Linked DNA regions of Saccharomyces cerevisiae S288C. The gene in region 1 interacts genetically with each later gene. Each region holds a gene or a part of one and is shown in the gene's direction. Other genes may lie near its edges.

Region 1 (5,314 bases):
TAAATAGACAAAACTACATGTAGAGTATCGTATTTCTATGGTAAAAGTTTACACCATCAAAAATTACCCCGCGAAGACTACGCAAATAAGGTTATACAAGTTAGTTGAGATGAAATAATCATCTCCACGTTCACGATTTAAGGCTAAATTGGAATGCGGCTAAAAAAGAGCGCAGTTACAAGAAAAAGCTACTATTTTATTATGCACGTGTGATAGCATTATCTTCAAGAATAAGCTCAAAAAAGAAAATGAGCTTAAAAAACCGCCTTTCCAGATAATTGAATGTAGCATATACCTATACATGCTTACCATGCCAAAAATATAACGGAACCACTACACATATCGGACCGTATTTTTATGGTTTATCAGTAAGGCCAACCATAAACACCTCAATGTTGGGGAGTCTGTCCTCGGCAATCAATGACGATGCCATTTCACCCTCATTCGAGTACTCGCTAACGTAAGAAAAAGGCACCCCGCAATGGGGTAGATCATACCCTAAAATGTTTCCTAGGTAGAAATAATAGTTACTAGGTAGGACGAAGGCAAGTACTACATAGCAGTACGGTTTCTGAGTCAGTAGTAACCCCTCAAACTTGCTCACACTTATCTTACCAAAAAATGGAGACGGACAATCAAATCTGAATTAAAAACACCGTCGCTTAACTGAATCAGAGAGAGAAGTTGAAACCAATGGTAGGAAATCAATCTAAAATAGAACACTTTAATTCTTAATAAAAAGAGGGGAACAACTTATTTTCTCCATTTGGCCTCGGCAACTTTCAGGGGGGCTTGAACGTATATACCGATCTACGTTGGAATTGACTGCTACTTCGTTCCACTAACCCAACTCAACAAATAAGCCTTGGAACCGCTGCAAGATTAGTCTATGTGACCGTGCCTTTTTTGCACTTTTAGAGAAACAGTGTTAAGAACTGTAATAACTGTTCAATTCTAAGCACTCAAACCGTGCTTGTACATATGCTTCAATGGCCTGCTCGATAGACCGATCACGTTTAATTTTTCTTTAATTTTGCCAAGGGAACGTTCTTTTCGTAGGCACCGCAATTTATTTCTAATGGATAAGTTCTGAATTTTGCTATGAATTAGTTAGTAGGGCCTACTAAAATGGCGTGGTATTTTTAAAGGGCCTTTACCAGCCACTCCTCAACAGAAAACCGTGCTCGCGTTGCAGAAATACGAGGTAGACACGCGCCTTAGGAACATAAAAATAAATATCTCGCGCTCACGGAAGGCAACCACTAACTCCTTTTCATCGAAAAGTGAGGTGTAGCTTACTAAAGCATTCCTCTTTATCCAAGTCGTATATTTTTCTTTATACTGCTAGTTCATTCTGAGCGGAGATTCCTGGCTAACTCTCCAATTGGAAATAAGGTAATAATGACTTTTCATGACGAATTGGGTGAAAATGCTTGGTGCTAGGCCCTGTGTTGTGGCTTTTTTCGGTAATAGTTTAATTTTCCAAAAAGGTTCCTGTGACTATCTTATCAAAGTAGCTTAGACCACGTCCTGCACGGTTTTGCAGACTGCTTAGGGGGTCTCTTGTTGTTATTAGCAGCGGAATATCTTTGTTTACTCATTAAAATGCCCCCCCGTTCGTTGCAAGGAACGCGCGCGCACAGAACTTGCGGATGCTTCCGCAGAAGTGCCCGTAGGAGATTTAAGCTAGCCCAGCGGTTAATCTACGCAGTTGCGTATTCGGAGTCCGCTCACACTTGCAAAAAGCATATAAAAAGCTTCATATTCATCTCATTAGTATCGGTTCTGCCATCCCATTATCTTAGGTTTATGCCTTTTCTGGTTCTCAAGTCAGTAACAACAAATACCCATCGTTGATTCTTTTTGGTAAGATCTCGCCTGTCAAAGAGATGTTCAATCGCTTTAATAAACTTCAAGCCGCTTTGGCTTTGGTCCTTTACTCCCAAAGTGCATTGGGCCAATATTATACCAACAGTTCCTCAATCGCTAGTAACAGCTCCACCGCCGTTTCGTCAACTTCATCAGGTTCCGTTTCCATCAGTAGTTCTATTGAGTTGACCTCATCTACTTCTGATGTCTCGAGCTCTCTCACTGAGTTAACGTCATCCTCCACCGAAGTCTCGAGCTCCATTGCTCCATCAACCTCGTCCTCTGAAGTCTCGAGCTCTATTACTTCATCAGGCTCTTCAGTCTCCGGCTCATCTTCTATTACTTCATCAGGCTCATCAGTCTCCAGTTCATCTTCTGCCACTGAATCAGGCTCATCCGCCTCCGGTTCATCCTCCGCCACTGAATCGGGCTCATCAGTCTCCGGTTCATCTACTTCCATTACATCAGGCTCATCCTCCGCCACTGAATCGGGCTCATCAGTCTCCGGTTCAACTTCTGCCACTGAATCAGGCTCATCCGCCTCCGGTTCATCTTCTGCCACTGAATCAGGCTCATCCGCCTCCGGTTCATCTTCTGCCACAGAATCAGGCTCATCAGTCTCCGGTTCATCTTCTGCCACAGAATCAGGCTCATCAGTCTCCGGTTCATCTTCTGCCACAGAATCAGGCTCCGCTTCTTCGGTTCCTAGCTCATCCGGTTCTGTCACAGAATCAGGCTCATCCTCATCAGCATCTGAATCATCTATCACACAATCTGGTACCGCTTCCGGTTCATCAGCCTCCAGCACGTCCGGTTCTGTTACACAATCTGGTTCCTCCGTTTCCGGTTCATCAGCTTCTTCTGCTCCAGGTATCTCGAGTTCAATTCCTCAATCAACCTCATCGGCTTCCACTGCCTCTGGTTCTATCACCTCCGGTACCTTAAGTTCTATTACCTCTTCGGCTTCTAGTGCAACTGCAACTGCTTCCAACTCTCTTTCTTCCAGCGATGGTACTATTTATTTGCCTTCTACAACCATCAGTGGTGACATCACACTCACCGGTTCAGTCATTGCAACTGAAGCTGTCGAAGTCGCTGCAGGTGGTAAGTTGACCCTACTTGATGGTGACAAATACGTTTTCTCTGCTGATTTCATAATCCATGGTGGCGTTTTCGTAGAAAAGTCTAAGCCAACTTACCCAGGTACCGAATTCGACATTTCTGGTGAAAACTTTGATGTATCTGGTACCTTTAACGCTGAAGAGCCTGCTGCTTCTTCCGCATCTGCCTACTCCTTCACTCCAGGCTCTTTCGATAACAGTGGTGATATTTCTTTGAGTCTATCAGAGTCCACAAAGGGCGAAGTCACATTCTCTCCCTACTCTAACTCTGGTGCTTTCTCTTTCTCAAATGCTATTCTCAATGGTGGTTCCGTCTCTGGTTTGCAGCGTAGAGCTGAATCAGGTTCTGTCAACAACGGTGAGATAAATCTTGAGAATGGCAGTACCTACGTCGTTGTCGAACCAGTTTCTGGAAGTGGTACAATCAACATCATCTCTGGCAACCTTTACTTGCACTATCCAGACACCTTTACTGGCCAAACTGTTGTATTCAAGGGTGAAGGTGTTCTTGCCGTTGACCCAACCGAAACCAACACTACTCCTATCCCTGTGGTTGGATACACTGGTGAAAACCAAATCGCCATTACAGCAGATGTCACTGCTCTTTCTTACGACAGTGCTACTGGTGTTTTAACTGCAACACAAGGCAACTCACAATTCTCCTTCTCTATTGGTACTGGGTTCTCCAGTTCTGGCTTCAACGTCTCCGAAGGAACATTTGCTGGTGCCTATGCTTATTATCTAAATTACGGAGGTGTTGTTGCTTCCAGCGCTACACCCTCATCCACATCTACCACATCAGGGGCTACCAACTCTACTTCCGGTTCCACTTCATTCGGTGCTTCCGTAACTGGTTCAACCGCTTCCACTTCATTCGGTGCTTCCGTGACTGGTTCAACGGCTTCCACCTTGATTTCCGGCTCCCCATCTGTTTATACCACAACATTAACATATGCAACAACCACAAGCACAGTAGTTGTCTCCTGTTCAGAAACAACTGATTCGAACGGTAACGTCTATACCATTACCACAACCGTACCATGTTCATCTACCACCGCCACTATCACTTCTTGCGATGAGACCGGATGTCATGTAACTACGTCTACCGGTACCGTCGCCACTGAAACCGTTTCTTCCAAATCATACACCACTGTTACCGTCACCCACTGTGACAACAATGGCTGTAACACCAAGACTGTCACTTCTGAATGTCCTGAAGAAACTTCAGCAACTACTACTTCTCCAAAATCATACACTACTGTTACCGTTACTCACTGTGACGACAACGGCTGTAACACTAAGACTGTCACCTCTGAGGCCCCTGAAGCCACAACCACTACTGTTTCTCCAAAGACATACACTACCGCTACTGTTACTCAGTGCGATGACAATGGATGTAGCACCAAGACTGTCACTTCTGAAGCTCCTAAAGAAACTTCAGAAACTTCAGAAACCAGTGCTGCCCCTAAGACATACACTACTGCCACTGTTACTCAATGTGATGACAATGGTTGTAACGTCAAGATAATCACCTCTCAAATACCTGAAGCTACTTCAACCGTCACCGCAACTAGTGCTTCTCCAAAGTCATACACTACTGTCACTTCTGAGGGTTCTAAAGCAACCTCATTGACTACTGCCATTTCCAAGGCTTCTAGTGCAATTTCCACATACTCCAAATCTGCAGCTCCAATAAAGACCTCTACTGGTATCATTGTCCAGTCCGAGGGTATTGCCGCAGGTTTGAATGCCAATACTTTGAATGCATTGGTCGGTATTTTCGTTCTTGCTTTCTTTAACTAATTTTTTTAACTGAGGAATTAAAAGTTTATTCCTCTGAAACGAGATAGGTTCTTAATATGCGTTTTATATACGCTTTGTGTAAACAGTTAAGTATTTTTTTAGCTTAATATTTGGATTTTTTTTATTTTTTTTATTCTTTTTGGATGAAATGGTTCCCTCTTCTGCCAATGAAGGGGAGACTAGGTTGATGTGTACACATCGTACACATTTTAAGGACACTTATTTCACTTATTGTCCACAGTAAAATCGTTCAGGCCATAATTAAATGCGAACTTAAGAGAACCTAAAAGTACCTCCCAACTTTTATAGTGGAGCTTCCGCTCTTTGGTCAGAAAAAAATCGAGTTCTGAACACTTGGCTTTATATTACAAATTTCTCCCTTCCAAGAAAGACAAGGGGTGCTTATCGCGACATGTCTCACAATAAACTTTATTATATTTATACTTTATTTATTAATAAGAGTTTCAAATAGGATTCTTGGAGAATTTTCAAAGCGTTTTTGCGTATAAGAAACTTTTCGG
Region 2 (3,538 bases), on another chromosome or scaffold:
TTTTCTGTCTTGACTAGTGAACCTTCGGCGTATAGTTGGTCTAATGTATCTTTGAAGAATTTTGATGCTTTGGCACGCTTTATTTTAAAAGTTGGCGTCACAACATCATCCTCGAGAGTTAAAGGCTCAAGTCCGACTTTGATGTTATGCAATTTTTCGAATCCTTGTAGCCCATCGGTGCATTTATTAATTTTGTTTAAAAATTCCTTCCTTAGCTTTTTATTACGATTTAAGTTTTCTACTAGCACTTCCTTAGTCCACGTTTTCACCTCTGGGTGCTTTGCAGCTAAAATCGGTTGCGCTGCATCAACATCAACACCAACGATGCCAACTAAAAATGTCTTTAAAGGATCTCCAAAGACAAATATTTGCGTGATATAGGGGCATGATGATAAATAAATATTTTCGATTTTCTCTGGAGCAATATATTCACCATGTGCTAGCTTGAAAAAGTTCTTGACTCGATCAATGACGCTGATGCGACCTTTTCCATCGATAAATGCAACATCTCCCGTGGAAAACCAACCATCTTGGTCAACGGCTTTTGAAGTTTCATTCGGATTTTTAAAATATCTTTCAAAAACCTGTGGGCCACGAATTTGCAGTTCACCTTTTAAATCCTTGTCGGCATGGTAACCCATTTCTGGAACAGACTTCAATCTACATTCTGCAGAAATACCTATGGCACCACAAGATCCGACATCTTTTTCAAACGGTTCGCTTAAACAGACACCAGCAAAAGTTTCAGTTAAGCCGTAGCCCTGTCTTATACCAATATCCAAGGCACTTCTTAAAAATAGTAAGGTATCTTTAGATATGGGAGCTGATCCGGTAATTATAAACGAGTTATTGGACAAACCTAAAGAGTCTCTGATTTTATCAATCAATACGCGATGATAAACTAGAAAATTCATAATCGATTTATCTGGACCACCTCTTGCGGTAAATCTGGCCGATTTAGAATCCAATATAGTATTTGCTACGTTCCTCTGGACAGTCGATTTATCCAAAGCGTTTTTTATACCGGCTTCAAACCGTGTTAATATTCTAGGAACCAGGGCAACCGCGTAAGGTTTCAAAATCTTCAAATCCTCTACCAATACAGTTGGGTCTGGTTTATGTAAGAAGCCTATTCCAAACCCGATGGCTAGATCATACGCAATAACCATTCTTTCAAAAATATGAGCCAATGGCAAAAAACACATATCATATAACTGTTGGTTTCTTTTATCTGGCGGTATTCTGAAGGTAGAAAAAGCAAATGCTATCCCAGACGCAATGTTTCTGTGAGACATTTCCACACCTTTAGGTAAACCTGTAGTACCAGAAGTAAACGAAATAGTATACAAGGAATCTGGGGTAGGTGGAATTGCAGGAATTTTGTTAAAGCAACCAACTTGTTCTACCTGCTCCAATGAAAAAAATGTGATTTTTTCATTGAGAGAGTTGCACTTAACGGGTAGCAACGATTCATTTAGCATACGGAGCTCGTCATGAGTTAATTCATCCATACAAACCAAAGTATTAACAAATTTCATATCAGGCACCATCTTCAATACATGATACATATTTGATTTTGCAAAAATCAGAATGGGGGCCTCGGTTAAATTCAATATGTACTCGGAGGTGTTTGGACCTAATGTTTCGTACAAAGCCGTGTTAGTTAGAGAATAGGCCTGACAGGCCAAATCTGTTAGGATCCATTCAGGGTTGTTGTGTGATAAGATAGCAACAACAAAATCATTGGCTTCCAAAGGACGTTTCCTTTTCGTGTTTACCAAAGACAATATACCACTTCCGATATTATGACATCTTTTAGATACCGTGGAGTACGACTCGAAACGGAATGTTTCCTCCCAGGTGCCTGTGGCTTTATCAATTGGCCTTGAACCTAAACAGTCACGTTGAGGCCATCTCCTTGCAGAAAACATGAAGTGATCGTATGCAGTTCTTAAGTTTTTATCCACACAGCTCACTAGATTTTCAGAAGAAAGAGAACTCCTATAAATCGAGCTAAAACCAGCTTCATTATCCGGATTCGAAATGGCAACCGCCTGTTTCTTTAAAAATGTTTTGTACCTGGGATAGCTGGTCAGTGGTAATTGAGAGTATAGCTCTTCAATATATTCATCAGAGCCTTTGGTGTAACCGGCTAATCTTGTCTTCAAACTTTCGAAACGAGGATCCGATTCAATTAAATCGGTAAGTGCATAATCTGGAGCGGCCATATTTCGAAACAAGTTTGTTCTTATCCGTTTTTTGTAACCTGCATTCTTCCACTTCCCTTAGCCATGCGTTTCCGATGCTTTATATAGTTCCAACCCATCATCGCTCAACTCCGCAATTAATATTGAGTTCCCTCGTTTTGACTCCAACCCATCATCGGCGGCTCGGCGTTAAAGACTGACGGTCCGGAGGATGTTCTGAAAAATTTGGTTAATATAAATAAATTGTGTCTTTTGATACTAACTACTTTTTCTTATTAGCTGATAACTGCCTCAATTGTCAAAAGAAGTAGTTTGCGTAAAGCTAACCATATATATACGTACTTATTTGCTTAGCTGTAAGGCGTCGTTAAAGCCGTCTACAATAACGTCAGGGACACCGGGACTTCTAGAAAATCCCATTCCCCCCACAGAAACTGTTTGGCCGTAAGATTCTTGCAACTTCCTTTCAGCTCTTTCTTGCCATGCGTCATAACCTACATGAAATCTTGGCAGACATCTATCGGCGATAGTGAATTCCCACTGACCAGCTTCCAGATCCTTGTTACTGATGCCGAGGTGGTTGTTCAGCGCATCTTTGACTGCATTAATGGTTACCTCCCTGGATGGCACTACAGGAACACCGTGTTCATTGAGCATACAACCTCCTATCATCGCAGTCACTTTTGTATATTTGTTGAGGGCGTTTGGGTTTGTGGAGAGTTTGTCAAAAAGTGGTTTGAAATTCCTTTCGATAACAGAATCGAAAATTACACCAAGCAATTTCCCTGGATTCTTATTGGATTTGGGAACCAAGTATCCAAAGCCTTGTAGATCGGCATCTATTACATCTTTGTTTGGCAAATAATAATTAACTAAAATTATTGTGTTTGATTGTATCTCATCTAATAACTTGGATAATGAATTTTGATCCTTCGGTAGCAATTTAGCGATTTTGGGAGGTGTTATCGTAAGTCTTAAATGGTCAAATGTTTCGTATTGGTCGCCAGATTTCGCTTTCAATCCGATTGTCGTTTCGTTAGCAGGGCGTTTCATTATTTGCGTAACCGGGTTCCCAGTAACTATTTTGACGTTTTTAAATTCGTTCAAAGCATTTCTGACTATCTTGGGAAACGTTTCTAGTCCCCCAGCAAGACCCAACATGGGATATTTCTTTAGCGTGTTGGATAAGTCTAATAACTTTGACCTGTCTTTTCCAAACGCATTTGAGTAGTCGTTAAGGCAGCCAGTTAAAGATTGGTGCAGGTTCTCAGTTTTTTTACTTCTTGACTTTCCGCGCATATTATCAATCATAGCTTGTGTGTTAGATCCGT
Region 3 (2,799 bases), on another chromosome or scaffold:
ATAACACCTACGGACCATATATCAATCTTTGTGCTTTGAGCCCCACACTTCATTAACACTTCTGGTGCCCGAAATCCACGAGTCCCTGCTCTATTAGCCCTTTTAATTCTACGCGTTTCATTTTTAGGATAACCCTTTGTCAGATCCACCCCATTTACATTGTTTAAGTGGACGACCTTGCCATTTTGTATGGTGACCATAGGAGGTGTTTGGTTATGTGAGTTAGGAGAATATTGATTACGCATAATGCATGGACAAAATTGTTCGTGATTCCTCATTGAATATCCACCATCATGGTTTGTATTTGCATAATTGTCGTAATCGTTTTGACTAGATATCATGCTTTTATAATCCATTTGAGCCTCGGCTAGACCAAAATCAACAAGCACTCCACGCCCCAATTCCAAATTAAATAAAAAATTTGTCGGTTTGATGTCTCTATGAATAATTCCCTTCGAATGAACAAACTTCAATGCTCTTAGTAGCTCCCAAATGTACTTCTTGATTCCCTTGATTGGTAGATCCCTGTAGAAAGTTCGGAACTCCTCGTGGGGATAGTACGGTAAAACAGCAATGACTTGATCTCGCACCCTTTTTGCATCACATAGAGGGGCTACTCTCGAAGATCCCGTCATTATGTACAGCAGGTTGAGCTCATTATAAATTCTTTGCGGTGACGAGGTAACGTATATTTTCTTCAAAGCAACATAGTTCGAACCATAATTCCAAAAATGTGATGCAAATTTTTTTGTTATTTTCCCAGTGATATCTTTGGCTTTATACACTGACGAAAATGTTCCCTCACCGATCTTGTCTATGAGTTTATATTCATTTTCTATACCCGGTAGATCATGATAGAGCTGTATCATCTCTTCTTTGATTTCTGGAGGTATATCATCGATATTCTTCGTTTTGCTTGTCATTATGATTGTTCTACTTCGAAACTGCCTCTTTCCTAAGAAAATTAGATAATAGCACAATTGTTATTGAAAATTTAAGGTAGTCTGTTACTTCCCGTTACGCCTGCTGAGCGGTTTTTTTTGTTAATGGTTCTTGCATTGATTTTAGGCGGAAATGTGAAGTGCTCTTCTACTCACTAAATTGATGCCGTTCAAGAAGACGCCCCAGGGCAAAGAAGACATAATTTAAAAGCTGACCGGGGACAAATGTTTAAGATTTATGTAGGCCTAAGGCGTTTATCGAGCTAAACGGGAAGTAATTTTACTCTATAAAATGTCATCTACACAAGCATTGCCCCATTAGATTCTTAATTATCTTCAAAACCAGGGCTACACCTTAATTTCCCAAGCTAAAAACATGCTTATATAGAGGTTTAAAAAAAAAGCGTCGTTCGTTGATAAAGTTTACGAACGTATCAGTATGATCGCGTAGGTTTCCACATACTACTTAGACTTCCTACACTGTCATGGTCATTATGTCAACAAAGGTGAGACCAACGCGTCCTGACCTGAATTTTTCTCTCTTTAAAACAGAACGCGTTCTTCATAATCCTCTCCTCAATGAAAGAATTTGGGGGGACAATATCTTGACAGAAACTGGTAAGGCTCTTGATAGTTACCGTACTTGAAGGGACACTGTGAACTGACTAAAAAACTCCGTCATGTCCAATTTATGTGTACTTTTCTTCCAGTTTTTTTTTTTAGCACAATTTTTTGCTGAGGCATCACCGTTGACATTTGAACTGAATAAAGGTCGAAAGGAGTGCTTATATACGCTAACTCCGGAAATTGACTGTACAATCTCATATTATTTTGCAGTACAGCAAGGAGAGAGCAATGACTTTGATGTTAACTACGAAATATTTGCTCCTGATGACAAAAACAAGCCAATAATCGAGAGATCTGGTGAACGTCAAGGTGAATGGTCATTTATAGGCCAACATAAGGGAGAATATGCTATCTGCTTTTATGGTGGTAAAGCACACGACAAGATTGTTGATCTGGACTTCAAGTACAATTGTGAACGCCAAGATGATATTCGAAATGAAAGACGCAAGGCGAGAAAGGCGCAGAGAAACCTGAGAGACTCTAAAACCGATCCCTTGCAAGACAGTGTGGAAAATTCTATAGACACCATAGAAAGGCAGCTCCACGTTTTGGAACGTAATATACAGTACTATAAAAGCAGAAACACCAGAAATCATCACACCGTTTGTTCAACAGAGCATAGAATTGTAATGTTTTCTATTTACGGCATATTATTAATCATCGGAATGAGCTGCGCTCAAATTGCCATACTGGAGTTCATTTTCAGAGAATCGAGAAAGCATAATGTGTAAATAGTTGTGTATTGTTCCTGCATTTTCTATCAACTTGAGAATATATGTTCTTCATATTTAATAGGGGAAAGGAATGACATACCGTATCCAAAATAGCCCTTTTGCTCATGTTAAATCTTATGTAATGACAGAGCTGAAGTGACGTTTCTATTAAAGCACATGTCACGATTTAAAAAATCCTATTTCAAAATGTAGCATTGTTTTCTTCGAGAAATTGACAAAATAATCTTTGTAAGAGTAATTTTTTCTTAGCCATTGGCATATGCACCATGCAATTTCCACCTATTTAATTACACTTGCAGTCAATCAACTCGCTTGGGGATGGTATTCCTCTTGGAGTGTTAAACTATATTTTTAGTGAAAGAAGTGATAAGCAAGTGTGCCAGAAAATACAAGGATATAACACAACTTTGAAAAAGAAAAATTGCCGATTCATCTATTAATGTATCTTGTAAAATTGTTTACAAAGAGTCAATCCGCATTACAGGCAAGATTGAACA
Region 4 (4,080 bases), on another chromosome or scaffold:
AATGAGCCAAGGAGTTAATGCAAAAGGTAGCTTGTTGAATGACAAAGACACGAATAAAACCGGCATAGATCAAACCACCCATATAGTCGTTGAAAAAGTAACCACAGATAAGAGTTGGAATGACGAAAGCGGTTAACAACATCAACAAGATGTAGTGTCTGTGTTGGAATCTAATGGTCCAATCATCAGTCATATCGGTAATATCAGCTCTAGCCTTGTATTTTGGATTTGGCTTCAAAAGCATCCATCCCATGTGGGAGTACCATAGACCTCTACGAGCGTCATAAGGATCTCTCAAGGTATCAGTGTAACGATGGTGAATTCTGTGAGAGTGGCCCCACCATTTAGCGGACCCTTCAACGGAAGCACAACCGAAGATAGCGTAGAATAATCTCAATGGCCAGTGAGCGGAGTAAGATCTGTGAGACCATAATCTATGGTAACCGGCAGTAATAGAAACACCACCGACAGCGTAGTAGAAAACGGAGAAAAGGAAAACGTTTAAATGCAAAGGCACTTTACCAGAGAGAGCAAAGTACCAACCAATCATTGGCATACCACAAACAAGAACCATGTTCAACCAGTTCAAATGTTGGTGCCAGTTATTCAAAGTCCATGGTTGTTCGGAGATGTGAATTTTAGTTTTAGCTTCTTCTTTTTCTTGGTTGTCCTTTTCTAGCAGACGATCCAAATTGGACTTCTTTTCGTTTCCCTTCTTGTCGAATTCCACGGAAACCATTTCCTTGGAGCCCATTAAAGAACCAAAACCGTTGACAATTCTTGGTGCTTTCTTATTCAAACCAGTAGCCAAAATATTAGCTTCCGTTAAGTCGACTTCGTCGACAATGCCACTGCTGGCAGAGTCATCCTTTGGAAATTGGTCGTCAATCAATTCAATAGTAGTTCCAGAAGTTGGCATCTTTGTTGTAATGTTTTAGTGCTGTTTATAATATGATCACCACAACTATCTATTACTATGATGTTCTATTCTACGTAATACAAAATATAAACGGAAACAGAAGTAGGAAAGATGGAAATAGAACAATAAATGAATCAAGATCTGCCCCCATATATATATGTATATGCTGATTTGCAAGACTCGATGAGCCAGGAGCCGATGATTTGCTGCATATATTGTTAACTACTATTATTTCCACCTTTGTGTGCCATCCCCATAGCCGTAACAATAGGGATAGGTGTGTCTGAGTGAGCAAGACTCGTAGAAGCACACCTGGTTGGGCACTAGATAAGGTTTGTTGAGTGTTCAACGTCCGAAAGAAAGCTGCCGACTATGCGAAGAGAACCTTAAGCCGTTATTACCTCTGCCTGTCACAGGCGATGTGATGCTAACGAACAGCACCAGAGCCAAGCCAACTGGGGCGGTCTGCAGAGAAGGCTGGGATACCCGAAATAGCTCGCTCAACAGCTTTTTTTCTTCTACGGAAGCCCACCAGATAAGCGCCTTTGTTGGGCCCGCTAACCCCGGGACATGCCCGGGCTCGGAGTTAGTTTTTGGCCACCGGGCGCCCGAAAAATGCTTCAGAAAAGAGCCATAGTCACGGAGAATCTTGACGTGCATAATGATTAGATATGACACCCTCATTCTCATTTGGATTTATTATCACGTGATGGTATAACCCGGACTGGAACTACATATCCGCTAATCCTTGACTTATTTCCATGTGTCATTTATTTTTTTTTTTTTTTTTTTTCCTTTTTTTTTTCCGCCCGGCAAATGAAATGAAAAATGGGTGATGGAGAAACCATGAGGTTTTTGAGAAATTTCACAGATGACTATAAACTTAGCGATATCATCTCGTACAGAAAAGTAACCAAACCTGCAAACGAAAAGCTTACTTTTGTTAAAAGCGTATCAAGCTAGCGATACGAATACCTCAGAACATCATCTTTTCAGCAAGACCCACCCAATGCCTCAAAATACAAGACACACGTCCATCGTAGAAATGCTTTCTACCCCACCTCAATTACCGAATTCCACAGATTTAAATAGTTTGAGCGAACAGACAGACAAGAACACTGAAGCAAACAAAAGCGACACAGAATCACTACATAAATCTATTTCGAAATCGTCATCTTCATCTTCTCTCTCCACGCTGGATAACACGGAATACTCAAACAATAATGGCAACTCCTTGTCCACCTTGAATTCACAGAATCTGTTATCTGTTCATAGGCAGGAGTGGCAACACACTCCTCTGTCAAATTTGGTGGAACAGAACAAATTGATTTTCATCAGAGGTTCTATTTCCGTAGAGGAAGCATTCAACACGCTGGTCAAGCACCAGCTAACGTCTTTGCCTGTGGAGAATTTTCCGGGAGACATGAATTGTTTAACATTCGACTATAATGATCTCAATGCGTACCTTCTTCTTGTATTAAACAGGATCAAGGTGAGCAACGACAAGATAACCTCAGACTGCCAGAATGGTAAGTCCGTGCCCGTGGGCGAGATAGTAAAGTTGACACCTAAGAATCCATTCTACAAATTGCCCGAAACGGAAAACTTATCGACGGTAATAGGCATACTAGGCTCAGGTGTGCATCGTGTTGCCATCACGAACGTGGAAATGACACAGATTAAAGGTATACTTTCCCAACGTCGATTGATTAAGTATCTGTGGGAGAATGCGAGATCATTTCCCAACTTGAAGCCTCTCTTGGACTCTTCCCTGGAGGAGCTGAATATTGGTGTACTAAATGCAGCCCGTGATAAACCTACATTCAAGCAGTCACGTGTCATATCCATCCAAGGTGACGAGCATCTAATTATGGCTCTGCATAAAATGTATGTCGAAAGAATCTCTTCCATTGCGGTAGTTGACCCGCAGGGAAACTTGATTGGTAATATTTCAGTAACAGACGTCAAACACGTCACCAGAACTTCACAATATCCTTTATTACACAATACATGTCGTCATTTTGTCTCGGTTATTTTGAATTTAAGGGGCCTAGAGACCGGTAAGGACTCATTTCCTATTTTCCATGTGTATCCAACAAGTTCCCTGGCAAGAACGTTTGCCAAATTGGTCGCTACCAAATCTCACAGATTATGGATAGTACAACCAAATGACAATCAACCAACAGCATCTTCCGAAAAATCCTCATCTCCATCACCAAGTACTCCACCCGTAACGACATTGCCATCGCTTGCGTCGTCATACCATTCGAACACGCAATCTTCCAGGATGGCCAACTCTCCTGTTCTAAAATCTTCAGATACATCAAACAATAAAATAAATGTAAATATAAATTTGAGTGGTCCCTCACCTTCTCAACCACAGTCTCCATCGGCCACAATGCCACCACCTCAAAGTCCAAGTAATTGTCCCGCATCTCCAACTCCAGCACATTTCGAAAAGGAGTATAGAACAGGTAAATTGATAGGTGTTGTGTCATTGACTGACATATTAAGTGTTTTGGCAAGAAAACAAACGCATCATAAGGAAATTGATCCGCAGATGGCAAGAAAGCAAAGAGGGCATATAGGCTGAAACAAACCAGACGAAAAAAACTGGCTTCATTTAACTACATATACATATATAAGGGTTTTTCTGATTTTTATTTTATCCCAATAAAGTTTGATTTTTTTTTTTTTACTTTTATTATGCACTGGGGCGAGGTTTTTAGGCCCTTTCTTTTCTTAGAGGAAATATATACACATGTTCTCGCTAAAATCAGTTAAAAGGTCCGATTGAGATGGTACTGTCAAATGTTAAAATCTTCAGATTAAAATCGCATAGAGCCTTCAGAATCGGTCCCATGATTAAAGCAGTCGCAGGAAATCTTTTGGTAAAGAGATTTTATCAACCAAAATTAGAAAGAATTCCACCGGCTTCACTGCTTTTGAAGCAGAAAATACGGTTAGCTCAAAATGGCAGTACTACATCTACAGAAAACCCCATTTCCTTCTCACAGACCATGTCCGAGATATTTAGCGTCTTGCAGCCAAGTGCACCAGATCTAGATGAAGACGAAACAAGTGGTTTGAAACGCGATCATTTATTAACTGAGCGTCTAAACAACGGCGAGCTTGGTGTCATTATGAACAAATTCTTCAAT

What was found.
Region 2: mutations in HPF1 (region 1) and BUD25 together harm fitness more than expected from each alone (negative genetic interaction), as found in Saccharomyces cerevisiae (one large-scale study listed by BioGRID).
Region 3: mutations in HPF1 (region 1) and ERP3 together harm fitness more than expected from each alone (negative genetic interaction), as found in Saccharomyces cerevisiae (one large-scale study listed by BioGRID).
Region 4: mutations in HPF1 (region 1) and SDS23 together harm fitness more than expected from each alone (negative genetic interaction), as found in Saccharomyces cerevisiae (one large-scale study listed by BioGRID).

What each region holds. Positions count from the first base shown.
Region 1 is NC_001147.6:28,182-33,495, reverse strand, and holds HPF1 (mannoprotein), read left to right. Parts: upstream 1-1,889; coding exon 1,890-4,793; downstream 4,794-5,314. UniProt on the Saccharomyces cerevisiae protein: Involved in cell wall organization and biosynthesis.
Region 2 is NC_001137.3:183,231-186,768, reverse strand, and holds BUD25 (Bud25p), read left to right. Parts: upstream 1-2,068; coding exon 2,069-2,091; coding exon of another isoform or gene 2,092-2,228; intron 2,229-2,549; coding exon of another isoform or gene 2,550-2,599; coding exon 2,600-3,038; downstream 3,039-3,538. Other genes in the region: medium-chain fatty acid-CoA ligase FAA2, read right to left, coding at 1-2,228; HEM14 (oxygen-dependent protoporphyrinogen oxidase), read right to left, coding at 2,550-3,538. UniProt on the Saccharomyces cerevisiae protein: Involved in bud site selection. Required for resistance to the DNA-damaging agent methyl methanesulfonate (MMS).
Region 3 is NC_001136.10:422,333-425,131, reverse strand, and holds ERP3 (Erp3p), read left to right. Parts: upstream 1-1,621; coding exon 1,622-2,299; downstream 2,300-2,799. Other genes in the region: serine/threonine protein kinase CDC7, read right to left, coding at 1-923. UniProt on the Saccharomyces cerevisiae protein: Involved in vesicular protein trafficking.
Region 4 is NC_001139.9:395,467-399,546, reverse strand, and holds SDS23 (Sds23p), read left to right. Parts: upstream 1-1,928; coding exon 1,929-3,512; downstream 3,513-4,080. Other genes in the region: OLE1 (stearoyl-CoA 9-desaturase), read right to left, coding at 1-919; GEP7 (Gep7p), read left to right, coding at 3,718-4,080. UniProt on the Saccharomyces cerevisiae protein: Involved in DNA replication and cell separation during budding.